Linked DNA regions of Mytilus edulis. The protein of the gene in region 1 purifies or fractionates together with the protein of each later gene. This does not show direct contact. Links are inferred from orthologs where the notes say so. Each region holds a gene or a part of one and is shown in the gene's direction. Other genes may lie near its edges.

The links.
Region 2: the proteins of exportin-1-like (region 1) and histone deacetylase 3-like purify together in Homo sapiens (affinity purification with western blotting; 3 studies listed by BioGRID, with this or other methods). This does not show direct contact. The link is inferred for Mytilus edulis from reciprocal best matches to the Homo sapiens genes XPO1 and HDAC3.
Region 3: the proteins of exportin-1-like (region 1) and nuclear pore glycoprotein p62-like purify together in Homo sapiens (affinity purification with western blotting; 4 studies listed by BioGRID and IntAct, with this or other methods). This does not show direct contact. The link is inferred for Mytilus edulis from reciprocal best matches to the Homo sapiens genes XPO1 and NUP62.
Region 4: the proteins of exportin-1-like (region 1) and nucleoporin 88-like purify together in Homo sapiens (affinity purification with mass spectrometry; 3 studies listed by BioGRID and IntAct, with this or other methods). This does not show direct contact. The link is inferred for Mytilus edulis from reciprocal best matches to the Homo sapiens genes XPO1 and NUP88.

Annotation. Positions count from the first base shown.
Region 1 is NC_092346.1:57,078,430-57,085,641, reverse strand, and holds the start of exportin-1-like, read left to right. Parts: upstream 1-4,202; 5' UTR 4,203-4,310; intron 4,311-7,212. UniProt on the Homo sapiens protein: Mediates the nuclear export of cellular proteins (cargos) bearing a leucine-rich nuclear export signal (NES) and of RNAs.
Region 2 is NC_092344.1:34,970,761-34,978,658, forward strand, and holds the start of histone deacetylase 3-like, read left to right. Parts: upstream 1-4,872; 5' UTR 4,873-4,922; coding exon 4,923-4,980; intron 4,981-7,898. UniProt on the Homo sapiens protein: Histone deacetylase that catalyzes the deacetylation of lysine residues on the N-terminal part of the core histones (H2A, H2B, H3 and H4), and some other non-histone substrates.
Region 3 is NC_092344.1:96,295,697-96,303,261, forward strand, and holds the start of nuclear pore glycoprotein p62-like, read left to right. Parts: upstream 1-4,562; 5' UTR 4,563-4,661; exon of another isoform or gene 4,662-5,055; intron 5,056-7,481; coding exon of another isoform or gene 7,482-7,565. Other genes in the region: small ribosomal subunit protein bS21m-like, read right to left, coding at 1,430-1,607, 4,451-4,539; uncharacterized protein, read right to left, coding at 7,482-7,565. UniProt on the Homo sapiens protein: Essential component of the nuclear pore complex. The N-terminal is probably involved in nucleocytoplasmic transport.
Region 4 is NC_092349.1:12,622,296-12,629,494, reverse strand, and holds the start of nucleoporin 88-like, read left to right. Parts: upstream 1-4,188; 5' UTR 4,189-4,207; coding exon 4,208-4,438; intron 4,439-6,209; coding exon 6,210-6,379; intron 6,380-6,854; coding exon 6,855-6,980; intron 6,981-7,199. Other genes in the region: homeobox protein cut-like 1, read right to left, coding at 3,909-3,971. UniProt on the Homo sapiens protein: Component of nuclear pore complex.

The DNA of each region.
Region 1 (7,212 bases):
GTATTTGGTATATGGAATGATTGTATTTCCAGTTTGATTTATACTACAAGCTGGATTTATACAGACTTTCAAGGAAGACCATTAAAGAAAATATAATTCGTTCAAACATCAGGCCAACAATGTAAAGAGCTGTAAATTTTCTTTCGCAACTTGTTTTTCCTCGCCGGAATTCCAACTCATGCTACGAAGATATCGTGGCACCAAATCGCCTTGCACTATGCCTGACGCACTGGACCACAGTGCACTCGACCACCTAGGCTCTAAAATAATAAAGTTTTCGGTGGCCAGATGTTTCCTTTCCTCGTCTGTTTTTATCTGGCGTCATAACACAGTACATGATAATCATATATAAGGCATGAAGATGGAATTTTTGCAGATCAGCTGAATGATCTATCCTGAAGAATCTTACAAACTAATGCAGGATGCAGTCACAAAAATAATTATATTATAAGTACGTCTAAACTAGTGACAACTCTGCGGAAGATTTTATACAACTGATCACCAGCAGTGATGGTGATACAAGGCTGAAAATACATTCTGTATAGATAAATCGTCTAAACATCAGTCCAACAATGATAAATCTGTAATATGCTTTCGCTAAATTTTTGTTCTTGCCTCGCCAGGATTCAAACTTATACTACTGAGATATCTTGGCAACAAATCGCCTTGCACTGTGCCCGACGCTCTAGACCACTCGACCAACTATGCTCTACCATGAATAATAAAGCTTTCGGTGGCCGGGCGTTACCATTCCTCGTCAGTTTTTATCTAGCATCGTAACACAGTACATGATAAATAAGGCATGAAGATGGAATCTTTACAGATCAGCTGAATTATCGTAAAGGATCTTACAAAATAATGCAGGATGCAGTCATAGAAATAAGTATATTACAAGTACGTCTGAACCAGTGGCAACTCTACAACAGATTTATCCATCGGATCACCAGCTGTGATGGTGATACAAGGCTGAAAATACATTTTGCATATATAATTCGTCGAAACACCAACCCAGCAATGTTAGATCTTTTAATTTGCTTTCGCAAATTTGTTTTTCTTCCCTCGCCGGGATTCGAACTCATTCTATCGTGGCACCAAATCGCCGTGCACTGTGCCCGACGCGCTAGAGCACTCGACCACCTGGAGCAAGGATGAAGAACTTATACAACTTTATATGATGTCTTTTCTGTTATACATATAGTGTCATATTGCAACCGTTTGCTTTAATTACTATTTTTTAATACTAGTAATATGATTTATTTTCACGTGTGTTATTGTTCTCATATATCGGAATGTTACAGTCACTATAAATGGTTTATTTGTGTTTCCACGTTTCCACTCGGCTTCTTCTTTTCGAAATATTAAAGAAAATCTAAATTAAAAGTATGATTTCTTCAATTCCACTGAAGCACCAACTTAGCGCATGTGGAATTATGTTGATCAAAGATGAAAACAATCACGAGTCTGATAAACATAAAACTTGCAGCAGGAAGAATTCCATCTATGAAAATTCATAAACAACTTTTAAAACAAAAGTCATTGAAGTTCGGCAGCAGCGTAGATACAATTGACGATAGAAACAATTGAGTGCGAGAGAGATTAAAAGCGGGGTCATTTCACCCTGACCCCGTATTTTACTGTCAGTTAGATAATTTTATCATGACAAATTGTATTCCTCTTTTCAAGAAAGACTATTAAAGAAAAGTGATGCACTGGGACTGATCTGTTTAACTTCCGGTATATGATGGGATCAAAGTAAAATGACAGCAATCCAAAAGTAACCCGTACTATACCTTAAGAAATACATCAGATTTAACAAAAAGTGCAAAGTGTAATGACATTCATGACATCAATCCAAAAGTAACCCGAACTATACCTTAAGAAATACATCAAATTCAACAAAAAGTGCAAAGTATAATGACAGCAATCTAAAGGTAACCCGAACTATACCTGAAGTAATGCATTAGATTCAACAAAAGGTGCAAGTTCAAGGTAATAGTAAAATGTCTTTCAAATTATCTTTATATCGGAGAATTTTCAAAAGAAGACATGATGAGAAACAACAACTTGAAACATTTATTCATTTAGACACATGGTAAACTGTGGACGCTTTCCCCTTTTACTAGATTTATAAAAAAAAAACTGTGATACTGCAATTTATAATCTCTACCCAATTCGAGTTTCAGAGCTAAGCCTCGTAATTAAGGATAGATTTAAAAAATTTAATCACAGAAACAGACATGAAAAAATCTGGCCAATATTATACAGAAACAAAAGTGTTCTAACGTCCTGAGTTAAGGAATGCTATGTCACGGTTCGAAACGACAGTCAATAATCATTACAAAATGTTATTATTAAACCTTATAGTGATCTTGGGTAAATTGCATTCAACTCGTCCGTTTGTATGTCTCAGGGGCGGGGTTCCCAACCAGGGACAAAGGGTCCCGGGTTCCAACTATATGTGCCTATTCAAATGCATTGATCGTCAAAAAAAAGGGGGGTTCCAACCCCCGGAACCCTCCCCCTGGATCCGCCAATGTGTCTGTCCGTTCGTCTATTATATACAATTCTAAAGAAAATGAGACAGAACACAGGAACTGTTGAGAAACAGAAAACTTCACAACACAAATAAGTGCTTCATCATCAGAGCTTCCCAGTTGGGAAAAGGGGTGTCGCCTCAGATCAGAGTGCTGCTCTAAACGTGTTGGGACATTTTCTGCGACCCACAGACCTGCCATCAGAATAGAAGGGCATCAAATTAAACTTGTGTTATCTTAATATCGGAAAGCAAGAACACATTAAATCATTGAAGTGAAAATTGGTAAGAATATTTACTAACAAGAACTATCTTTAAAAAAAGATATCCGACGTATTTAAATTTGAGTATATGTTTAAAACTATCATTTTGATAACCCTCAGAAGCACAAAGATACCATTTAAATAACGTTTTCTCTGTTTGTGTTTAGTATTCTCAGTCATCGTATCTTTCTGTTTACATTCACCATGTTCACCAAAACCCCGCGGAAATCTCACATGCGTAGGTGCGTTCTAAAAGTCATGCCGGTACGTTCGTACAACAAAGTTTACATTAAAAATTATATAATTGTCCCGAATAAACAGCTGTCACGGATGGAAAGAGCTATTTGAGAAACAATTATTTTAATAAAAATATAAATCTTTGTAAGATCTAGTTCAAATATTTACAGTTTTTCACTTGCTTTCCATCACGATATAATTAACGAGACGTTTTTTCAAAAACAACCAAATCACCCACCATGACAGCATTTTGTCCAATCACAAAAAGGATTTTCGAGCATGCGTATTCTGTTGCCACAGTTAAGCGTCCTTAAGTTCAAAGGACACACACCGAAACTATACCGACTACGTCGGAAAAAAGCAAGACAAATATTTAGAAAAAGAGTACATTTCAGAATGACAGTCGTCTGTTAATTCTGATTCAAAAGTAGTTGCTCGGATAGAAAAAAAAACGCTACTGTTATACTGTACATTCTACTTTTTGACACTGTTTTAAAACAATTATATCTTTAATACCGTGATGAAGTCTATGATATTATCAAGTTAAAAGTCAGTAATAATCTCATTTATTTTTTTATATTTCAACAAATTTGTAGTACTTGATTGTCCATTATAAGTCTTACTAGAATTTACAAATCTGTCTCAAATATGATCGAAACTTGGCTTAGATAAAAGAACTGAGACAGCAATCGTCAGTCTAGCTTTTTACAAAAGCTATTACTTGCATTTTGATTGAGTGACCGATTTTTGAAATCGAAAGTAAAAGTAGGTCAAATATTGCGTTTGGGAAACTATATTTGATTGGATAAATGATAAAAATTTTCCATTTGAAAATATCACCGTATTTTGCCCAAAAGTGGGAACAAGAAATTTCTTTTATAGTTATCAACTGTCTAAATGTTTTAAATATATATCTATCGACTTTCAAAAATGTGTTATTTCTTAATTAAAAGTAAAATGTATTTTATCCCTGCGAGAGTACAAACCAATCAAAAAGTTGCTAACAAAATATGTGTTTACGTTAATTAATGAGTTAATGAAGTTTTTACTTTGCAACTAAAAATTTATTTAGTCATAATTATTTCTTATATACTATTGAATAATTGCCAGTTTACTATTATTTCGTTATTTTTATCGAAATATTTGTCTAAACTTAAATTACGGATTTTACCGAGAACCAATCTGAATGGCGGTTCTTTGCCAGTTTCAACCGGTTAGTCAATTTTTGATGCTTTCTCACAAGAAGTTGGGTTTGGCCAGAAGAAGAATTAGAAGAGGTAAAATTGGTTTTTAGGGGAAGTTTTTGTATTTCGTTGTTTCATTGTCATGTTCTGAACATTGTCATAGTTTCGTTAAACACGTTTGAAATTTCTCTCATGGAGGCAGCCATATTTGAAGATACAAACAAAAACAAACGGAAGCCTGCTTAGTCATGTGATTCGGGACGTAAAATTCAAACTGTTCAGCGGCAGTGTGGTGGAAAATTCCACTATCATTATGCTCATAAAATTAAGTTAAATGATAATTTTCGTGATTAAAAGTTAATTTCTGAAAATAAAGAAATGATATTATTCAAATTGTTTTCTTATTAGCATAGTTTTTCTTCATCCAAAAAGTTTTCTATTTATGCCTATGGACATGGGTCATTTTCAAAAAATGTCGAATTTTCAGTACACCCATGCTAATTTTTTTTATTTCTAATGGAAATTTCGGTTGAAATGGCTCTAATGAAAGCTTGACGGGTTTGTGATTCAGATCATTAATAATAAACACACCTTACATCTATTTTGATAAGATTAAACTGCATTTAAGTCCGATTTTGGGGGTATTTGTGTGCGTACAGTGTCGGAAAACCACATTTTAAATGATTTATTTCTGATTTTCTGATCGCCTTGATAATTGCAAAAGGAACTTTTAAAGAACGTTAATTATCACTCTAACGAAAAAATAGTAGCTTCTTTATCATTGTATGTAACATATTATCCACAAACTAAATTCAATCAGCATACAGGAGGTTCATGTCTATCCTGTTACCGCTACTTAAATCAGTCAATAAATTATTCTCCCTATGAATATTGAATCAGTCGGTGTTGATTTCAAAAGTGCAAAGTAATCTTTACATTTAAATAGCCTCGTTTCGTGAACGACAGTGTAGAGAAAAGATATTTCAAGACATTTAGTGAAAAAAAAAGAGAACTTTTTTTCATGTCTATGCTGTTACCAACAATTTTGATTAACTACACCAAAAGTATGCTTTTAAAAAGTGCAATAATGTGTTGGTAACCAAATTCACAATAGAAAACCATAATCACTTCACTAAAGGGAGTAGTCATTTCACAACAGCAATCAAAAACGAAGAAATTTGTCTATCCTGTTACTGTGGTTGCTATGGTTACAGTAACAGGATAGACAAAACGTCGTTATTTTTTTATCTTAACATATACATGATATAGGTGCAAAACAAAAGAAATATTTCGTTGTTTGAACTCATCTTAAGTTTATAAAGACGTCTTTATCTTCCCAATTAAGCATTTGCAGGTGCAATATTTATATGGTTAACAGGATAGACCTTTATATAGTGATATATCAGAAACGTACGTTCCTGTTACCAATGAAATAAAGAGAAAAGTAAACTTACTTATGAGGAATTTACCTGATGTTGGGTTTATTTAAAAGAGTGAAAAAATGCTGAACAATATAAATTGCTATCTTAGACTTGCATTACTGGTGGTAATTTTTACAACCTTTGAAAACCAATTTTTAGAGGTATTTTTCAGTACAACCTGGAAAATTGGCAAATAATCTATTATTTTACAGCAGTGGCTGATCCAGGGGGGGGGGTTCCGGGGGTGCACACCCCCCCTTTAGTTTTGCCGATCAATGCATTTGTATCGGGACATATGTTTTGCACCCCCCCTTTGCCCTGGGTGCCCTGGGTTAGCACCCCCCCCCCCCCCCCCCCTTTCGAAAATTCCTGCATCCCCCCCTGTTACAGAATGAATATATATATATAGAAGTTTATTCTCTTGAAAACCATCTAATTGGCTACATAAAACAAGCTTAACATTTTATCTAAACCTTTTCTTAATAACCTAAAATTTCTTTTGAAAATTGTAACAGGATAGACAAAATATTGTACCACCGATCACAAATGTTTCAAGATATTCTTGTTTGACATTAAGATTGCATCTTTTAATATGTTGTTCTTAAAGTACTGTTTGTTTTGATTTGCTTATGTAGTGGGTTGTTTTTAAAAATAACTTCAATGTACAATGTATTAATAAATTTTTCAATTTCAAAATTCATCATTTTTTGAAAATGACCCACGTAAGTACAGGGTTTTTCATAGCTTTTTCTTTCAATCCCTCTTGGGATAATCCATTCATCATCAACAGTCACGTCTCAGTCATTACAGCTGAACAGACGTGCTGGGCCAGCTCTCCTTTACCTGCTATCTTCGATGAGGGTTTACTTTTAGATGATCAACGACTTACTACTTTATTAAATTAGAGAAATTAGATATAATCCTAATAAACTTAATCATCCTTAGAATGAATTGTTCCTATTGTTTTCTGCTTCACGCTCACAGGCTGATTCATTAAAAGAATGATGACTGCCACAGGCTGAATTTCTGCTGAGTTTTTATAAAAACATAAATTTTCTGCTTATGTGAACTACAGGAGTGGCTACGCAGACAAGAACTTGGCCATATTTAAACATCACATAATACATGCAAGGCCAAAGTGGAATTACTCTCTGGATGTCATGTTTTGTTAGCGCTCTCACATGTACCATTCATGCCAACTTTTTATGAAACTTATATCTTGGGTTCAAATTAGCAATTTATGCCCCTAAAAATGTTTATTCTGTAGAAAATATAAATGTTATCACTCTAATGTGTTTGTTCAATTCTTGCCAGAAATTTCAAAGTTTAAATCAGAAATGTATTTGTAAATACATTTCGGATCAAATGTTTTTACTGAGTGATGCCCCTTGGAAATCTAAGTTTGTTTGCTCTGAAGCCTAAGTTTTACAGAATAATGAAAGTGCTTTTTGTTGTTTTTGCCCTGGTACCTAGGATAGATAAAATATGTACAACAGTGATATAGGAACAAGTGTTCTTTTATTCCACTGGAAAAATTAATCCATATAAACTGAACACTGTTTACACTTTGAATA
Region 2 (7,898 bases), on another chromosome or scaffold:
ACATTAGTTGCATTGTAATGATTATCAAAACAATAACGGTAAATAGACAAGTAAATAGTAAAAATGTTCAATAAATATTTTATGAATAAAATCTCAACAATAATTAATTAAATTTATTCAAAAACATTCACTAGAGACAGAGACATATAATTTTATAGGAGTTTAATTCAATGAATACAAAACGGTATATGCATATTCATTTTCGTTCATTATTATATTGTGGTTAATAACTACGACCATTCGTCAGCTGTGCGCTTTTAATTACGTATATTGTCGATAAGCTATAAGAGTTAAACAGATTTTATTTTTTCCCAGAATTCAATAAATCGGGCTAATACGTCACGACCCACTCGAGAATTCAACAAAAAAAGTTACAAATACTTGATTTTCTCCGTTATTAGAAGGAATATAAATTTAAAACTTTGCAAATGTGTTTTTTATGTTAAGATGAACATAATTAGATGATAAGTAAAAAATCGCGGAATTTCCCTTTAATGTACATGAACACTAAAAATGTCACATTAAGTATATATATGATAAGTCATCAATTAAAAAAAACCAACATAATTATTGTAGTGGTCATTTTTTTTTTAAATTTTTTTAAATATTGCTTTATGTAGTTTAAAAGCTATCTATTCATGAATTTTACAGATATATCAAAATGTGGGATCTGGAAACAAACTTCACACAGCTTATATCAATCATATTTGATTTTATAAGTACATGATCCCTGTGATGAGAGTTGTAACTGGGAACTTAATCAATGAATAATTAAAACTGAATAGATTTTTCAGTCCTCACTTTCTTGAGAATACTGTCACAAAAAATTGAGAATGGTCTTAGCCTGCCGTTCAGTTGTACATAATTAAAATTCTAAAATATATTGTAGTAGTTGTTAAATTCAATTGAATTTTAGATAATTAACTCCCAACTTTAATCAAATGTTTTGATTTAGAAGGTGCAGATCTCATTGGTCCAAATTGTCTCTATGATGAATTCTTGACTAAGGAAATGAAATAACAATAAACAACAATTAGTTTCATTATTGTATTAACATCGTGACATCATACTCTTTCTAATCCTTTCTGTATATCCTTTCCAAATAACAACATTTATACCTGTGTACGCTTGAACTCACACCTGCGGCTAAATAGCTACAAGGTAAACGAATTGACCTCAAGCCGAGAATATACAGTGACCTATACAAAATAATATAAACACTCTGCTCACACATTAGTTGCATTGAAATGATTATCAAAACAATAACGGTAAATAGAACTGAAATATTTTCAGTTCAATATCAGTAAAAATGTTCAATAAATATTTTATGAAAAAAATCTCAACAATAATTAATTAAATTTATTCAAAAACATTTACTAGAGATAATTTTATAGGAGTTTAATTCAATCAATACAAAACGGTATATGCATATTCATGTTCGTTCATTCTTATATTGTGGTTAATAACTTCGACCATTCGTCAGCTGTGCGCTTTTAATTACGTATATTGTCGATAAGCTATAAGAGTTAAACAGATTTTATTTTTTCCCAGAATTCAATAAATCGGGCTAATACGTCACGACCCACTCGAGAATTCAACCCAAAAATGTATCGTCAAAAACATATTAGTAAAAAATTACCGAACTCCAATTAAATTAAAAATGGTGAAGCCCATAAAACCTGACGACATCAAACGTTAGTATTTATCACCATTGGAACGATTTGGAAAACAACTATTTTATTTCTGATTTTCGTTAACAAACAGTGGGTAAAATCTGGTTTTATAGCTAGATAAACCAACCTCTTGGCTGGCAACTCGTATTACAGTTGTTAATAGTTCGGTTATATTTACGTGTCAGTTTGGTCTCTTGTGGACAGTTGTTTCATTGGCAATCATACCACATCTTCTTTTTTTATGAGTAACTAAAACAGACATAATTGGTTAACATGACAATAATTGGGATCCAGCATCAAACACTGCGTAAACATTCACCACAGACAAATAGCACAACTGACAACAATAAATCAACACTGTGTAAACATTCACCACAGACAAACAACACAACTGACAACAATAAATCAACACTGTGTAAACGTTCACCACAGACAAACAACACAACTAAAAACAATAAATCAACACTGTGTAAACATTCACCACAGACAAACAACACAACTAAAAACAATAAATCAACACTGTGTAAACATTCACCACAGACAAACAACACAACTGACAACAATAAATAAACACTGTGTAAACATTCACCACAGACAAACAACACAACTGTCATCAATAAATCATCACTGTGTAAACATTCACCACAGACAAACAACACTACTGTCATCAATAAATCATCACTGTGTAAACATTCACCACAGACAAACAACACTACTGACAACAATAAATCAACACTGTGTAAACATTCACCACAGATAAACAACACAACTGACAACAATAAATCAACACTGTGTAAACATTCACCACAGACAAACAACACAACTGACAACAATAAATCAACACTGTATAAACATTCACCACAGGCAAACAACACAACTGACAACAATTAATTAAACAAACATAAAAAAAATCTAAAATGAGACGCCAACAAAAAAAGTTGATATAACTGATAGTATTAAATCTGACAAAGACGCCAACAAAATAATTGTGTGTAGTTGATAGTACATATATTAAATGTGTAGTTGATAGTACATATATTAAAACTTCATGTCGTTCTAGTATGAGTCACATTCTCGAAGAAGTACAAATTAAGTTAAACCAATAAAAGGATAAACAAAATGACTAACTAACATGACTAATGCCGAAACCTTGACTGGAAATTATTGTCCACTAGTAGTGGTATCGACAGTGTAGATCTATGTAAAACGTTTTGTGTTTGAATATGTTCTTTTGTTCTTTTTTTCTTGGATATTAAGATAACATCCAATAACATACATATTTCGAAGACTAAACAAGTGTGGGCACAGATCAGTGTGGATTGTGTTTGGATGGTTGACAGTGTTTTCTGACAAAAAGAGTTCTATGGTTCTAAGACCAAAATATCAATCAGTGCACATCCAAATTCTAATGGAATCAGTGTTAATAAAACGTCATTAAATCTATATTTTTGTTTCAGGACAAACTAATCTATTTTGGCTAAAGCTGGGACTTTTATACCACCAATATATTATCACCCAGGTCATAGATGTCCATGGATACAAAATTAAACTAATATTAAAATTCAAAAACTCAAAATCTTGTAATAAATTGTCTTCAAAAGTGACATGTTGAATACTATTTTATTTTAAAACATTACGTGAATTGTTGATTTTTTAAAAACAAATCATGTAAACTCTTCAATATCCAAATAGACAATTTTGTAACATTGGCTATCGGATAAAAGAGAATGAAGGGTGGTGGCAAAATTATATTGTCTGGGGTCTCTTGCAGAAGCAACAAATGAAAAACATCAAAATGGTTGAGAACTTTATACTTTTAATCAATACAGCTACCAAAGTGCAGTTCGTGTTATACTTGATAAAACCAAGCCGACCAACTCTACAACAAAGAAGTCGTGCATCAGTCACAATATTTGACAAAATTTAGAATCAACTAGTTTCAATCTAAAACACGCATTATCTGTCACCTTGTGGGTATCAATTTATACAATCATTATATTCAACACACTTCCTTACTCTTTGAGGCTTTTTGTAATGCTTTATTGACGGTCCCGATTCCGTCGTAATAGCATGACCATATAAGAAAGAGATCATGCATATCTAGTTTATGAAAATTCACAGAAAAAATCCCCAAAAAACGTAGCATGAAAAAGGTCACAGGAAAACTTGCCTCAGTAGATAAAGTTAAAATGATAAAGAATCAAAAGAGAATAGTAATTCTATTTTAAGTTTTTATGTTAGCTTTATATTGAAATCATGCAATGGTATTTAAAAAGAGACATCTTTATTTTTTAATTCAACATTTTCCTTTCTTTTTATACAATGCCGTATTTTTACCACTTAGACAAACCAATAGATAAAAGATAATTCATAAGTTGAACAAACATTTAACTTCAAAAGTGTGGGGAGGGGGGTCAGATACTATTATTTTTATCTGAGTCAGAAATATTTGTTTTAGTTTCTCGACACTACACATATTTTTTTTTTATTTTCCACTCTATGGTGTGGAGAAAATCTGAATTCAGAATATTTTTCTTTGTCATCTGCTTGACAACAATATTTTGTTTCATCAAATCAGAGGGGATCAGAAAAACTTCTTTTTTTTATAGTTAAATGGTCGTTTCTAACTCACAACCATTGAAATTAGACAAAATATTGACCACCAGTGTCTATCCGTATAGTCAACTTAACTCAGTTCGCAGCCGTCTGTCAGCTATTCTACTGAAACATGCATAATCTGTTTTAATGACATGGCCTTTTTTAAGGCAGTGGCTATTTTGCCGGCTCTGATTAAAATGTCTTAATGCAAGCCGACAATTTAAAATAGCCTATTTCTATAGAATTTCAAGTGCTATTTTACCGGAAACAGCAATATAGTGAAAATGTTGCTTAGCTCATGTAGGTTAATATATATATGCTTAGCTGTCGCAAGGATTTGTATAGTTAGATATGTACAAATCCTTGGCTGTCGTAAATACCGTAATGTTTTTTTCCAAAATAATTATATCGATTTTTTTTTATCTACCTGCTCATTGGTAAAATTAAATAGTCTACTTATAAAAATCCTTTTTACATAGTCTTAAGTTACTTAACTCTACAAACCCTCCGTAAAATTAGCCTCATGTCAAATAATTCTTGTACGTGGTTGTCTATGTTACGACGTTACTCTTCGGTAATGAGTCAAATCAAATGCTAACCTCTTTGGTAAAGAAGATAAATAAATGATATGTAGAAAAAGAAGAATGCAAAATGTCAAACCCAAATATTGCATATTTTTACGACCCAGATGTCGGCAATTTTCATTATGGTACGATTAATGCACACCCTAAGTATAGGCTTTATTGCAAAAATGGGTTTGGTGAAAATTATGGCCATCTTCCCATTGTTATTTATGAATCCGGGTCCGTCCGCCCTGATTTCGGTTCGCCCTAGTTACTGTTCGCCCTAGTTCCGTTTCGCCCTGAGACCGTTCGCCCTGATACCTGTTCGTCCTGATTTTTATTTTTTTATTTTAAGGCGTATTTGTTACAGAAAAACTGGTTTTAGTTTAAGGTTTTGGTTGGTAAGCGGAAGAAGGGATCCCGTAGACCGCCCTACGTCACGATTCGTGAATTATGCATATTCTATTTATAGGCTATTTTAAAACGATTCGGTAAATACTAATGCTAAAAATAGAATTTTCTTAACATGTAAAACTATCTTCAAAAAAAAACGATGCAAAATCATTAACTTTCATGGAGAGTGGTAAAGGGTTATTTTCGTGGAACGTGATCGCGTTTTTTTATTTCACGTTCAACGTGTTTTTACTTTTTTATTACACGTTCAGTCGTGCAAAACAGCTAGGTGTTCAACTTGTTCTTCTTATGTAATTTTTATACGTGCTTCGTGATTCAAATGCTTATTTTGCGTGCTCAGTATTTTTCAAAAAAAAAAAAAAAAAATCAAACACCAGACAGGGATCGTCAACATGGTCAGGAACGAAATTGATTTATGTTTAAACATATTTATTTATAGTGGATTGGGAAACAAGTTTTGCAACTTATATTAGTCCCTTTCCACTTTGCGGCTGTGAGTTCTGCCTTGTAGCGTAAGCATAAGCCTACTCTTTTTCGAAATCTACAAGGGTGTCTTTAACGTGCAAGAGATATGGCTCTCTCTTAACACGGGTCAGCCATTTATCGTCCCCTTCCGACGGACTATCATCGTTTCCTCAAGACCATACTCGCAAATGGTGTCGAGGGAGAGCCGAAAATTGAGTTCCTGAAAAATTTCATCCCAAACGGGAATCGAACCAGGAACCTTAAGTGTTATTAGTCCGATGCACTAACCAAAACACCACGGCTCTCTACAAATTGATTTAATTTTGTTTCCGTGAAATGATAAGGCGGCAAGGCCAATGATGTTCCTTTATTTGCATTTTAAAAGTTCAGAATATCTTTATATACTTTTTTAAAAGCTGTAAATCATTTATATCATAAATGTGTACACACTAAATAGGGAATGTTAAGTAAAACAGAGAGTTCATATATACAAGAGGACAGTGACTCAGTCACAAAAGGTTCACCTTCAAGTCTTTATTTTTTGTGCAACGTTCATGACAGAAATTATTTCACGTTCAACGTGAAATGGTGTCTTAAATAGGAAAATGTTCCGCATTACAGTAGCATATATCATTGTGCCCTCATTAAGCAAATACATATTCCTTTTAAGATATATATGATATTTCACATATATATGACACACAGTAGTGGTGCCTTAATTATGTTGTAAAGACTTGCAAATGTCCCATGCACGTGATCCCATGGCTTTGAATATACTATGGAGTTAATAATATTTTTATTATCTGCTTAATAGAGTACTTTGATGTAGGCAAATTGAAAAAAAACATGTAGCTTACACGTTCTTAGACATGAGACATTTCCTTTACGGGGTGTGAGGGGGTGGTGGTAGTGGTGGTGGGGTGGGGTGCTGGTCTTCGTTTCCCCTGTTAATTGTTTATAATGAAGCTACATGTTCTATTAGGGCGTTCTACAGGATCTTCTGGGCGGTCTACATGATCCCCTGTTGTCTGAACCTTATATTTTTACTATAGAACGTTCTTTAGGATCTCCCATATTGTTTGTTTATCATGTATATACCAAAGGACGTTCTACAGGATCACCTGGGCAGTCTATAGGATCCCCTGTTGTATGAACATTATATATAAACTATAGAACGTTCTATAGGATACTCTATTGTTTGTTAATCAAATATATACTAAAGGATGTTTTACAGGATCCTTTGGGCGGTCTTCAGGATCCCTTGTTGTCTGAACATTATATATCTACTAAAGGACGTTCTATAAGACCCCCTGTTGATTGTTTTTCATGTTTATACTATAGGGCGTTCTACAGGATCCCCTGTTGTCTTTACATTATATATCTACTATAGGACGTTCTACAGGATCCCCTGGGCGGTCTACAGGATCCCCTGTTGTCTTTACATTTTATATCTACTATAGGACGTTCTATAGGATCCCCTATATTGTTTGTTTATTATTTATATACTAAGGGCGTTATACCGGATCCCCTGGGCGGCCTACAGAATCCCCTTTTGTTAAAAAAAATATGCATCTGAGATAGGAAATTTAATAGGTTCCCTGTTCTTTGTTTATTACGTATATATTATAGGGCGTTTATGATCCCTTGGGCGGTCTGCAGGAGCCCCTGTTTTCTCAACATTATATATATATCATAGGACGTTATTTAGGATCCCCTATTGTTTGTTAATCATGTATATACTAAAGGGCGTTCTACAGGATCCCTTGGGCAGTCTACGGGATACCTGTTGTCTTTACATTATATATATACTATAGGACGTTCGTAAGACCCCCTGTTGATTGTTTTCATGTTTATACTATAGGGTTTTCTATATGATCCCTTGGGCGGTCTGCAGGAAACTATGGGTGGTCTGCAGGAATCTCTGTTTTTCAAAATAATATATGTACTATAGGATGTTCTATAAGACCCCCTGTTGATTGTTTTTCATATTATAATATAAGGCGTTCTAAAGGATCACCTGTTTTCTCAACGTTATTTATCTACTATAAGACGTTCTATAGGATCCCCTATTGTTTGTTAATCAAGTATATACTAAAGGGCGTTCTACAGGATCCCCTGGACGGTCTTCAGGATCCCCTGTTGTCTTTACATTATATATATACTAAATGGCGTTGTATATATAAGA
Region 3 (7,565 bases), on another chromosome or scaffold:
ATTATATAAGTCATCTGTATACAAAGTATGACACCTCCAGGTCTTCAACCTTCTAAAATATAAAGCTAAATACAATTGGTTAATGCTGCCATCGTAAGATTGTAAATTGTAGTCTCTATGTCTCCCAGTCACAGGCAATCTATGTCTCCCAGTCACAGGCAATCTATGTCTCCCAGTCACAGGCAATCTATGTCTCCCAGTCACAGGCAATCTATGTCTCCCAGTCACAGGCAATCTATGTCTCCCAGTCACAGGCAATCTATGTATCCCAGTCACAGGCAAGAAAAAAATTAACAGACGACGACAGATGCCAAGTGATGAGAAAACCTCACTTACAGAATGGAATAGGGATGACTACGGCTCAGCTGCTCGTGAACAAAACATAACTTTTACTGTCCATTTAGCTGGTCTACTACCATACCCTATCCCTGAATCAAATTGTAATATGCTAGTAACTGAAATACTCTAAATCAAAGATCTTAGTAATATTAACTTAGACTTTTTAGCAGAGTTTAATTTGATGTCGTAGATGCACTCATATCCTACATACATCCATATTGTATGTCCAGATCTAACCATATACAAAGTTTCATATAGATATAAGAACCATCATTGTAGGGAAGAGAATGAGATCTTAACCACATGCACATCTACACATTAAGATCTAATAATGTATCCATTTCCATGTAGATATTATAAACCATGATGGAAAAGTTGTTGAGTTTATAGGTAATGGACTGGGTCAAAATATTGTCATTGCAAAGAGACATCTCTAGAAAAACTAAATAGACAGAGCATCCTACCATCATAAGTATATAAAGATTTAACAATATAACAAGTTATGTGTAGATATTATTATACATATACCTGTTGGTGGTGTTGCAATCGTAATGTCAGGGGAAAAAGTTGAAAGGGCCATAACTCCTAAAAACCTCAATGGATAGGAAAATACTACCCACATGCACATCTCTATATACATGATATAAAGATCTAACAAATAATTAGTTTTCATGTAGACATAATAAACCATGCAGGAGTTGCTATGCCAATTTTCTGTCTGAAAAGGGGCATAATTCTAGGGAAACTAAACAGAATTGACAATCTTTTACCTGTTGATACATTGTTTTTGCATATCATAATAAATTATTCTAAAAAGTTAGAAGTGAATCAAAGGTCATAGAAGTTGGTCTGGACAAACAAACAGACAGACAAGCTGATTTCCATCAACCAATCCAATCTTTGTATAATAAATCTCTCAGTACAGACTGTTGGAGGAGGGGGGGATTTTTTTTTTAAATATTATGCAAATGATGAACTTTATTTGTCACAACTGTTTATTTTCTATATAATTTACATTCCATCTGAAAAAATGTTTTGGAAGTATGTCACTTATGAGGAGCAGAATACACATAATGTATTTTAATATTCATCATCCTATCCATGGACTTTCTCTGTTGACTTTCATCACAAATTCTATTTTTCTTTGCATGTCAGCATTGTATATCCTCTTGCATCTTTCATAACTAATACGTCTCCTCATTGTGGTTGGTTTTTCATAATATTTCTTTCTCCTAACTTGGTCAACAATTCCATCATTTCTCATAAATCTGGAAAAAAAAGTGTTTAAATTTTTATTACAGAGACTAGTTTAAAATTGAAATTATAGAATATTTATTCAAGTAATTTGCACTTACATAACTAGTCTAAGTTATTAACAGGTTTATATACTCACATAATACATTTGTCAAGGTTTGGTATTTGTTTATATAAAAAAGAAGAAAATGTGGTATGATTGCCAATGAGACAACTCTGCACAAGAGACAAAATGATACAGAAATTAACAACTAACGGTAACAGTACAGCATTCAACAATGAGCATTACCCTGCTTGGATGGCACCATTCTGGTATACATAGATAATAGCCTGTTAGTAACTTTAATTGATCATACCATCAGTCCATCACTGTCTGATACCATGTATATGTGATCCAAACATAATAATGAATTCTTGCTTGAAATTCAAATTCAAATCTTAGAAAATAGAGTTCTACTTTTTTTTATTTTGGGATTAAATTTTTATAGAGTACTTGAAAGAACATTATACTTTCAGAATGACGCATTTTCTTTAACATTAATTATTTAAACTTCTGTTGTGTACAGATAAACTTTCCAGTGATCAAAACTATAAAGTAAAAGGAATCATCTTATCTAAATAAAAATAGTGCTAAATCCCAAATATATTCGTGTGGCTGTTCTAAGTTTCTGGTTGTTTTTCTTTGAAACTAATATTCCTGGTTTTGTGCTAATTTGAAGTTATTGAAGGGCAGATGTTTGATATGTCACTCTGATCATATTATCCGCAACATTTTTATACGACCGCAAAAATTAAAAAAAATTTTGGTCATATATTGGTATGACTTTGGCGTCGTCGTCTGAAGACATTTGGTTTTCGCACTATAACTTTAGTATAAGTAAATAGAAATCTATGAAATTTAAACACAAGGTTTATGACCACAAAAGGAAGATTGGGATTGATTTTGGGAGTTTTGGTCCCAACAGTTTAGAAATTAGGGGCCCAAATAAGCATTTTCTTGTTTTTTGAACAATAACTTTAGTATAAGTAAATAGAAATCTATGAAATTTAAACACAAGGTTTATGACCACAAAAGGTTGGAATTGATTTTGGTAGTTTTGGTCCCAACAGTTTAGGAATTAGGGGCCAAAAGGGTCCAAAATTAACTTTGTGTTTGATTTCATCAAAAATTATTGGGGTTCTTTGATATATGCCAAATCTAACCATGTATTTAGATTCTTATTTTTTGGTCCCGTTTTCAAATTGGTCTACATTAAGGTCCAAAGGGTCCAAAATAAAACTTATTTAGATTTTTCACAAAAATTGAATTGTTGGGATTCTTTGATATGCTGAATCTAAACATGTACATAGATTTTTTTTATTATGGGCCCAGTTTTCAAGTTGTTCCAAATCGGGGTCCAAAATTAATCTTGTTTGATTTCAACAAAAATTGAATATATGGGGTTCTTCAATAAGCTGAATCTAACCATGTATTTAGATGTTTAATATTTGGGCCAGTTTATCAAATTGGTACACATTGAGGTCTAAAGGGTCCAAAATTGAATTCTTGGGGTTCTTTGATATGCTGAATCTAACCATGTTTTCAGATTTTGGATATTGGACCATAATAGGTAAATGTCCAATTTAAAAAATTTAAGTTTTTAAGTTTCTCTTAGACCACATTCATTCTGTGTCAGAAACCTATGTTGTATCAACTATTTAATCACAATCCAAATTCAGAACTGTATCAAGCTTGAATGTTGTGTCCATACTTGCCCCAACTGTTCAGGGTTTCGACCTCTGCTGTCGTATAAAGCTACGCCCTGTAGAGCATCTGGTTATACCTAGGTGCCTATTTGGACCATGATATATTGTATAAGACACCTTATGTTCATGTTCATAAATTTTATATGTACATTTTGTAACTTTTCATATGGTTGATTCTCAGTATTTTTAAAATTTGATTCAATATCCCAAACTTCACTTCCATATACATGATATTCATGTAATAAAATTGGGAGTACCATTGTATCAAAAAGTTTTTCTAAAATTCTACATGAATTGTTAAGACTTAGAGATTTCTGTATTTTGAATAGAGCTTTTTTAGCTTTTACTATCAATAAATTAGAGGCAAGCTGCAAGGTTAATAAATTTAATGATAGATCATGAACAGCACATGCTGCTACACTGCAGAGGTTACTCCAGTATTAGAGAGACTTTTGTATTAAAAATGTTCAAAATTACAGGAAAAAATATAACCACATTGTGCGATAAAAATAAAATAAATCTTATACTTTATAATATATCACTAATATACGGCACTTAATTAACTATCTTCCTCTTTCTTACTAGTAATTATCTATTGCAATAGATTTTCATTATACCTTTAATGTTTTATTCACATATAATGTTTGTAATTTACTACATGTACCATGTATATACCTTATCGCTAATCCCGGCTGACCCGGCCGCTTGAACTTTTGACGCATACAACAATCACTTTTCCATTGTGGCGTCAGATATTTGTTTTATGATGTCAAAATTTTACGGGAACCTGTGTGATATCCAGCAATGGCGGAAAAATAGCGATAAGGTGTATTGTAAATAGTTTATCCATTGGGTCATTACCATCATGATTATGAAACAGGTAAAACTTGAAACATTTTCTGTTTTAAAAGGAAAATAATGTTATTTTATCATAAATTTTATACGGAAATAATTTCCCAATTTGGGTGAAAATTCCCAATTTTGATAGAAAAGGGACCCATTTGAAAATACCTGGAATCATACCCGAAGATACATTTCTCAAGGACGTACTACGATTTATGATTGTCAATCTTTAAAAAAAAAGACCATGTAAGTAATTATAATATAATACCTCATCAATGCATTGTGGGCTTGTTCTACGTTATTTTTGTGAACAAAAACGGTTCTTGCCAAGAATTTTGCATTTCTATGGCATGACATTTTGTCAATGAATGGTCTCCCTTGTTCTATGGTCACTTATGCGTTTAAAGTAACGCGATTTGCATTAGAAATGTAAGAACATTTGTACACCGATTAAGATTTCGAGCCAAATCAAAAAGAAAGTATGAAAATAGCATGTTTTGCTTTCCTTTACAGAAAAGGAAGGCTTTTAATTTAAAAGTGTAGAAAAGAGTTGGAATACAATGAATGAACATACGTCTTCGTCCCCTGCGATTTTGAGGATTTTTCACTACACATAATTTATTTAAAACATTTTTTTTAGACGAGGAACAAATTATCTTTCTGTTTGCCACTTGCTATTTGTTTTTAATTAGTATTCTTCTACTTATACATTGTAATGACCACCTTCAACACGTTGAAATTTATTATTATATTGATATTTTGGGAGGCGACTTTCCTGATATGGAACTTGCGCCCTATTTACACTTATCGTGATTGTTTTTTGGAGAAAAAAGAAAAAAAAAGTCTTAGTGTTTCGTGTTTTGTTTACTACACGTGAGTTCTTAAGTTGTGAGGTTTTTTTTCAAAGTCTTTAATGTATTGTGGTTTTACTTTTGTAAAAAAATGTTTATTTTGTCGTTCTTGCTTTTGTTTCGTTGCATTGCTAATTACATAGTTGATTGCTTTGATATATAAGGTAGTAGTTGCTAATAAATATACACAAGTGTATAAATGAATCTTAATGTCCATCGCTGAAGATAGAGATTATATACTGCTTCCCGATAGCCCGGTGTCAATTATTTAATGAAAAATTGCCAAAAATATGTATGCGCCAGAAAAAAAGACTGTCGCATACTTCTGTCACCTACATTGGGGTTAATAAAAGAAACAAAATATTATATATGAAATTCCCACAGATACCAAGAGACCAGTTTGAGTCATGGTCCCTTTGTTCAGTGAGGATTGTCGTGGTCTTTGTATTGACCCCGACTGCCCTCACTGACCATGAGACCACTGAATAATCAATCTGGTAATCAAATTTTGAACTGTATCCCATTATTGACACCGTGACTTCGGGAACACGTTGAAGTATATGTCACTTGTACTTTTATAGCTAATATTTTAATTGTCTATAGTCGAGATTACTCTGACGTCCAACGCCTGTTTTGCCAGACAAGCTGGGGCCGTGGGACGTCAGAGCTCATCCCATATCAAAAAGTCTTATAGATAAACGTCATGTTTTTCCTGTTTAAATGGTTTTGCACAAGTCATTTTGGGGCCCTTTATAGCTTACTGTTCGGTTTGAGCCAATGCTCTGTGTTGAAGACTGTACTTTCCCCTTTTATGGTTTTTCTTTTACAAATTGTGACTTGGATTGAGTGTTGTCTCATTGGCACTCATACATGTACCACATCTTCTTATATCTATGTTCTAGTTCTTTTCTTTTTGTTGAAATAAATCAGAAAGAAGAGAGTATCAGTATTTCTGTGACGTGAATGCCAATTTTCACTTGGGAAAAATACAAATCCTGATAAATAGAGGCTTGTCAGTTTGCCCCACTTATGAAAAATAGAAAAGTCCTTATGAATTAAGTCAATGAAAATCTAGGTTTTATCTTTTTGCATTAAGTGGGGCAATTAACGGGATTTAACCCTTTTCACAAGTGGGACCAGTTTGTAAATCAGTTTGGGTTGATTTTTTTAAAAGTGGGGCGAGTTTGTAAACAATGGGGAGATTTGGTGTGGGGCGATTTGATGTGGGGCGATTAGCAAGATGGGCGATTTGTCCTGCTTCCATCCATACCATCAAAGACAATTACTTCTGAAGCAAAATATACATGTGTTATTTGTAAAAACAACACTTAACCCTATATTTTCATCTAATTGATTACTTCAAGGGTGTTATTCATCTGTCTGTATCGATACAAAAGATAGAAGTCCTGGATAAACACATACCGGTACATGAATTTAAAACTTCCCTATTACTCTATAAAACCCTTAAAAAAATTCTAAAGATAACCCTGAAACGACAGGTACATGTAAGTAATTATGAAAATAACCAAAATAGTATCTAATATGCATGTCATCATTTAAAGCAAGCACTTTACTTTACCTGTTGATAATTAGCAGTTTATCATTATGATTCACATGCAGCAAAATTATAAATCAATATAACAAGGTGACATGATCTTGTATGATCCCAAAATAAATTAATTATTTGAAGATTTCTTGGTAATTCATTGTCATTACCTTGAGGAATCATTTTAGAAATTTGAAAATACAATGTTACATGTACAAATGCATTCTTTAATTGAAAAATCTTTCATGTAATGCACCAGAATATTATTTATAACATCCAATTTTTACTATTTGATAAATGATATTACATCAATAAAGGGTTTATCCCTTATATAAATAGTGATCCTAACTGATGATTGTCTAGGTGGTCATACTTATGGGGGCTTTCTTTTATTATCTTATACTGCAACAATTGTTTTACCGAAATAACCTGGAATTTTTAAAGACAGAAATGAGAATCAGATGCTATGATATCAGTCAATCGGCAAGATTTAACAATTCTCAAAATTCTTTGGCGACTAAAATCACCATTTTGCTGGCTAGATTATGGCCTGCTATCCATAAAAAGGATAGATCAGAAAAAAAATTAGAAGATGTTAAGCAATATATAGTGGTTATCTTAGAGTGGTATAATCAGACTTTTTAGGCACAAATAAGAAATACTAGCTGGTTTTACTTGTATTGATTCTAAACTCCATTTGCACATAAATCTCAACGTCATAAGTAGCATGACGTTACTATACATACATAGCGGTACCGCGAACGTCTAATGAACACAGTCCTGAACATCCTGGGGGGCCGCGAATGAAAATTTAAGCAATAAATAAAGAAAAAACTTTAAAATGAAATAACTATTGTCTCTCAAATGAAATAAAACTTTAACTTTTAACACTTAAACAGTCTCTATGCTTTACGGAACGGTTGAATCCAACTTTTGATTTTCTCCTTGGCATCAGTTTTTGCTTTTCTGGTTGAAGTAATAGTGTT
Region 4 (7,199 bases), on another chromosome or scaffold:
ATACCCAATAAAGTCAACTAAATAAATTATCAAAACAAATCTAAACCTTGACTAGCTTTAAGAACTGGTAGAACATGTAAAATAATCATTCAAAAATATATGTCACTCATTCCCTTAAGTATTTAAAGAACCTCAAAATAGAATATACATTGCTGCAATGTGAATATGATTTAGGGAAATCTAATAAGAATTATACCAAAAAATATTATATACTTATCCTATTTCATTAGCGAAACAATTATGAAATTTACGAGATTTGAAGTAATTGATAATTTCGAGGCCGTGAGATAAATATACAAGTATGTAATTTCTTCATCCCTTGATGTACAACAAATAGTCAAATAACCTGAGAATTACAATAAATTTTATCCACTTAGTAAATCTGATTAAAAACAGAATAAATTTCCCTCCAGATAGAGAATATTTATAAAAATCAATATCTAGGTTGTGCTTGATCAATCCATCGGCAGAAAATTTTAGCTTGTTTTATTATTTGTCGCTGAACGTAAAAAATCAATGATTGTATTTCAATCAATTTGGTATAACTTAATTTAGGAATCTTCACTAAATCATGTTGTTCAGTATTAGGAGTATTTTTACAACTGATCAATATTTACATTGTTATAAAAGCAATGATCATTGATTTTAAGACAAGAAATGAGATATTATAAACTTCTTTGTCTCCGCTGGGATTACCTACATGTACAATTATACTTGATCATTTATCCTGTTTTATTTTAAATCTGATTTCTATTTTCGATCATACCTTTCATCTATCAGCTGTTCCAAAAACTTTTGGTGAAGGATGAGGGGCACTTTAATTGAATATAGGTGGTTGCATTTTCTTTTTGAATTTTGTCAGACTTATTAAATTAAATGTGTTACACTATTGGTGGTTGATGTCTTTAGAAAGTGTCTCCTATGCACTCTATGTGTAAAGCTTTGAAATACAAACAAGACACTCTTATCATGTTGTATTGTGTTGTGTGGTTACTTTCGACATGTTCGATGATGATGGGGGTTTTGAACGACCTTGACTGGCTAAAAAGCCCTGGCATGGTCAGTTGTATCACTGTCTTTTAAATTCAATTCAGAGTCTTTTATTTGAATTATTTCAAAACACAAACAAAATGTATTTCTATTTCATTGGTGTAACATAGTCTCATAGATGTATATACCCAACTCTTTTTATTCCTATAAAGACCTTATAATATATATAATAATATAAAGTCATAAGAGTTTAACAATTTTATTCAGATTTAGCCTAATCAATCTATTGTAACAAAAAACATATAAATCTATGTAACTAAATCAAAATATTAATTTTCAAAATAATGGCCTGTGGTTTTCCTTAAAAAGATAGATTAGTGCATACCAGTAACCAGGGGAGTTCAGGGGGTTCAAATAATGACTGTTAAAGTCAACGTTCTGTTCGAGTTGTGACTGTTAAAGTCGAGTTTTTTAGGCCCCTTTGGAAATTCCTGGCTACGGGCCTGTTAGTGCATGGCTAAATCCACCACTATGATATGAAATTTGATTGAAATTTAAAGCCATGAATCTGAAAATTTCACTATGATTTATGTATTGTTTTTCTTTGATTTTCTCATTTTTAAAACATTGTACAGTACAAATACAAATTGTAAGATGATTTACTTACAACTTTGTAACAATTATATCATATAAATGACAAAAGAAAAGAAGTATGTGGGTCAGTGTTCATGAAGGAGTAACCACCAGACAAAATATTTTCCCCCTTACATCTCATCATTATTCAAACTGGATGCACATACATTTGATTTTAAAAAAAATGTAAACATGGGAGATAACTCAATAATAAATGCCTAAAGTATTTTTAATTACTTTTTAATATAAACAATTTTTCAAAACCTTATTATATATTTCATGTATTTGCAAATGCACTTACAAGCATATTTTTTTTCTTTTCAAATCCATAATCAAAGAAAACAATTAATTTATGAAAAGAACAACTCAAAAAGTATAAAATGTATATTGGATTAAAGTTTTTTTTTTGGTGTGTTGGGGGGGGGGGGGGTATCTTGAGAAAGGGTTGCACAGGGGTGTTAACAATAGATTTCCAAAAAATAATATAATTAGATAGAAAACTGAAAAAAAGCAATAAAACAGTTTCAATATTTTTAAGTTGGGAAAACAAGGCCAAGGGTACATAAAAAGGATGTTGATCTTTATTAATTTTCTGTTAGAGTTGCAGTAGATGATCCTGAACTTACAATAAGGGGCCCAATGAAAATATAAATACAATGAGAAAAGTGTACTTATAACACATTTGGTTAAACATTAAAGTCCTCTCCTGGATCCATCTATTATACTTTTTAACAGGAAATAACTTTGTGAGTTATAAGTGATTTTTATACTGTGCAATGACAATTCATAGCTCCTTAGAACTTTTATCTTATACATTAGCATAGATGCCAACCCCCTTTTGACACAATCAGTAACAAACTATCAAATTTTCCGTATTTTTGAAAAGTTTTCAGTAATCATTCATAAACGTGCATTTACCAATAAAAATTACTGACGAGTGGTTGCAAAGTAATGTACACTAAAATTTGTCATTTAACATGTTGTCTGTAGTATGTATTCCATTCATTAATTGTTCAGATGTTCTCGACTCAAACATTTTTGTTTTGTCAAGGAGAAGTAGAGAAAGCGGGAAAGCTACTTAATAAAATGCAAGTTTGCCTCTTCGGAAGTCAGTTAGTTACCCAACAATAGGTTGATAACTCCCAAGAAACCGGAAGCATTACATTGGCGTTTCCTAAATACTGGACCAGGACGGAAAAGTAATGATAAAAATCCGCGTTTTACAAAATTGAACGTCGATGATTGGGAATCCATAACTATTCGACTTTGACCGTAATAGCGTAGTTTTTATCGCAAAATCGGAAAAACTACGGAAAAATCGTAATGGTTGGCATCTATGCATTAGACAAATGAAACCCAAAACTATTTTTGTGTTATTGTTTTTGTTTTGTTTTGTATAAATTTACTCCATGTATCAACTTAATCCTTGTATGTTTAATTATTATGTATTCTTCTCTGTACCTTTGCTAATTGTTTTTTTAGAGAATAAAATACATATCTATTAATTTCTATTTATTTGTTGCAGCACTGATTAACTCCAAAGATTGTACATGTATTTGTCTTTTCATTCATAGAAAACAAAGCAAAACTTTTACATATATATCATGCACATGCAACTCCTTTTATTTCTCTCTATATATAAATAAAAATGTTTGTTTATCAAAAAAATAGAAATATAAGGTATTTATAAATTTACCAAACATAAATCTTTATTGTCCTGTTAATGGTACACTATGCCCAATCATGATATGAATGATAAAAGTCTTCTGAAAGATAATTTATACTCACCTAATATCTGTCTTAGTGGTGTATTGGAAATGATCAAAACATGACAATGAATATAACTGTTTATTTTAATGAAGTTATCACAGGTGACATTAAACAATACTGGGACTAATCTGGTTACCAAATTTGTAATACACAAGCTAATGACTTCCAATACACATGTATCAGTTGTGGATGCTGAGAAGACTAAGTCATAAAACTTTTCAAACTTTCACTGAAGCGTAAAGAGTTTGTTACACTGTTTAAAACTTTGGAATTTATAATAAACTTGTCATTTAAAACTTTATTATCAGCTGCTGTTTCGGTACTGACACAAAGAAATACACTAATCAGTCAGCCATATTGATTTTTTAGATAATACACATTTTATTGATGATATTGGGAAATTGGAAAACAGCTGACATTTTGTTACTGCATTATTTTTGATTGGGGTTTGAATAATACATGAAACCTCCGTCACCTTAAGATATGATAAATAATGTTAATGAAGATGGACATACCTGTAGTTCCTGTAAATCAAACTCTTTCCAATATTGTACCATTGACTGCAAGCTCGCAGCCATCTTGAACGGGATTAAGCCCAATCAATTGATCACATGACCCACTTAGAATCGAAAATAATCTCAAAACTGTTTACATTTTAATTTCTAGAAACAAAAGTTGTCAACATTCATGATTAAACTATTTTTAACAAATACATATTTATGATCATAAAAAGGTAGTTTATTATCGTTGATAGCATTTCTTTGTAGAAATGAAACCGATATTTTCTTCTGTTCCGAGGCTTTACACAGGGAAAATGGCGGGTGTTGACAGTTGGCGCACATGTTTAAATAACCAGAAATTTGTCAAAAATCTTGCAGAAAACAATTCTAAAGACTCAAAACAAAAACTTAGAAATTTAGCTAAAAGTTTATTTGTTGTATATGACAGCGATTTATATGTATGGGACTCGTACGCATGTCACATTGTCTATTTTAATCTGAAGCAGTTGCTTTTGGAAGATAAGGAAAAACAAGAAAGATTTCAGGTATAAAATGCATCTATCTGACAGTTATCGTGCATGCAAACCGTGAATAAATGAGTTGTCACTTAAAAACAAGGGATATTGGGATGTTTACTTGTTTTAATTTGGCATATGTTATTATTTGTTGTCCTTTTATGAAAATGAAAGTAGAAAACGAAAGTAGATTTTTTTGTTTATAAACTTCTATACAATAAAGAAGACAACTGATTGGCTTCTGTGTTTTTATACTTGGGATGAATATAATAAGTAAGTTATACAAAACATCATTTATATTTTTCATCATTCACTTTCACACAATACAAATTGTTTCCTGGTACTTTTGTCTTCCTCATATGTAATTTCTCATACATGTAATACTTAATAATTGTAATGGTGGAAGATCAAGATCTCTAGACGGCTTGCCAGTTCTTGGAATCAACTTATTTATACTTTGTTATAAAAATGAGAATGGAAATGGGGAATGTTAAAGACGCAACAACCCGACCATAGAACAGACAACAGCAGAAGGTCATCCACTTTTCTTCACACATTCTGGCCATTTAATTGCATTATTGGTCAGCATCTGTTGTAGATTCAGATTCAATATTTTATTAAAGTCTCACTCTATGTGTTGTATAAATTTCATTGCAAATGATGCCTGTACTTACTTGCTACTAATTAGATAAACAGCCTCTAAGATTTGGAACTCACATCCCTAAAGGTATTTTAAGGTCTTTCTTTCTGCAACAGAAAGCAAGACCGAGTCCTGGGTTTGAATGACATAGAAATTTTATATGTTCATGCTAATGTCAAAGAATTACTGAAATAAATATGGGATGAGACTTATTGCCTATATGGTTTGCTTTCTTGCATCTCATATTGAAGAAATAAAGTTTTTCAAACCCAAGTAAATTCAAGTCAAGAAAACTCGGGTCAATTCAAACCCAATATCCCCAAGCCAATCTGGTCCAATATTTTTATTCTAAAATTGCTCTGAATGTATGGATGTATGGATAGAGTTCTATTTACTTAAGTTATTGGCCTCATTGGGTTTGGACTGGAATAACATGATTTTAAAATTCAAAGCATGGTGGTAAAAAAGGTTATTGTGATAGTGCTATTTTCAATCCCTGTGCCATGCTTAAACATATTTTGGTAGAGACAGTAGAAAGGTACAAGTACATGATGCAGGTAAGCCTTTCCTTTTTCTTTTCTTTTTGGGAAAGGGAAATTGAAATGTCAGATGTTTGTTTAGTCCTGTGACATGCCTATCTGATTAGAAAAAAACTTCTTCAAAACAGGACAATAATGATTTTGAGTAGGCAGCTGTTTTCTTGGTAGGCAGGTTAAGAGCAAACAAACATATTCTTTTTTATGCCCCACCTACGATAGTAGAAGGGCATTATGTTTTCTGGTCTGTGCATTCGTTCATCCTACCGTTCGTCCGTCCGTCCGTCTATCTCGCTTCAGGTTAAGGTTTTTGGTCAAGGTAGTTTGATGAAGTTGAAGTCCAATGGACTTCAAACTTAGTATACATGTTCCCTATGATATAACCTTTTTAATTTTAATGCCAAATTAGAGGGTTTACCCCAAATTCACGGTCCACTGAACATAGAAAATGATAGTGCGAGTGGGGCATTCGTGTACTGGGGACACATTCTTATTTTTTAATGGCCCTGGCTAGTGTAAATTTACTTTTTAAATTTAAAAGATTAAAGGCTTTTAGACACTCTTGTCTACTTGACCTATGTACATCTAAATGAACTAAAAATGATTTGTTGAATTCTATTTACAGACACTGTTATGTACTGATGCACCAAGGTTTGATGTGGAATGTTTGATTTTCAACAGAACTGGGAATTATCTAGCAGTATGGGGTCAGACTGGTATTACTGTGATAGAGTTGCCACGGAGATGGGGAAAATACAATGATTATGAAGGTGGAAAGCAGTGTGTTCAGTGCAAGTAGGTCAAAAGAGAAACACCAGTGGTTTATAACAACAGTAACAGAGTTTGTAATACCCCTATTTTGAAGGAGGGGTATACTTGTAAACCTCCATCTGTCCTTCTCATAACATAATTTACATTTATTTGCAGTTTTCGCAATCAAGCTTTCGTAAGCGTTATTCTTATTATCAAGGTTCTTACATTTTTTTACATTTATAAACTTCCTTTTTACTAAATACTTATATACTCTAACATATGATTAGCATGAAATTTATTCATGAATTACAAATCAGAGCCTCCTGAAATCTGGTTGCCAGCTTCAAAACTGACCAATAATCATGCAATGATATAACAAAGCTGGCCTTGTCATAGCAAATTGAAATTTGAATAAAAACCAATAGACTTTAGTGACTTGCTATTGTTTTTCCTTACACATATTTAAAATATTTGTGTATTATATATATATATTATATTAAAACTTGTTTATTTGCAGATCTTTGAATGTTGCTGAGCATTATTTTGCTGGCCATAATGGAGTACGTCTGCTAACAGTATTGTGGCACCCTGGGAGTGAGACGGACAGCCATATTGCTTTTCTGACATCAGACAACACATTAAGGTTTATTGATGGACTTCTTTCTCATTCATAATTTAAAACATAGCGTAACCTGCCTAATCTGACACCTGAGTATTCCAACAACCTGCTATAACCGGTGCATTTTCATGGTCCCAAAATATGTCTATCCTTGCAGATAAATACCTGTCAGTGAGTATTCTGACACCCTGCTTAATCTGATATTTTGTTCAGGTCACCCAGTGTGTCGGATTAAACAGGTTT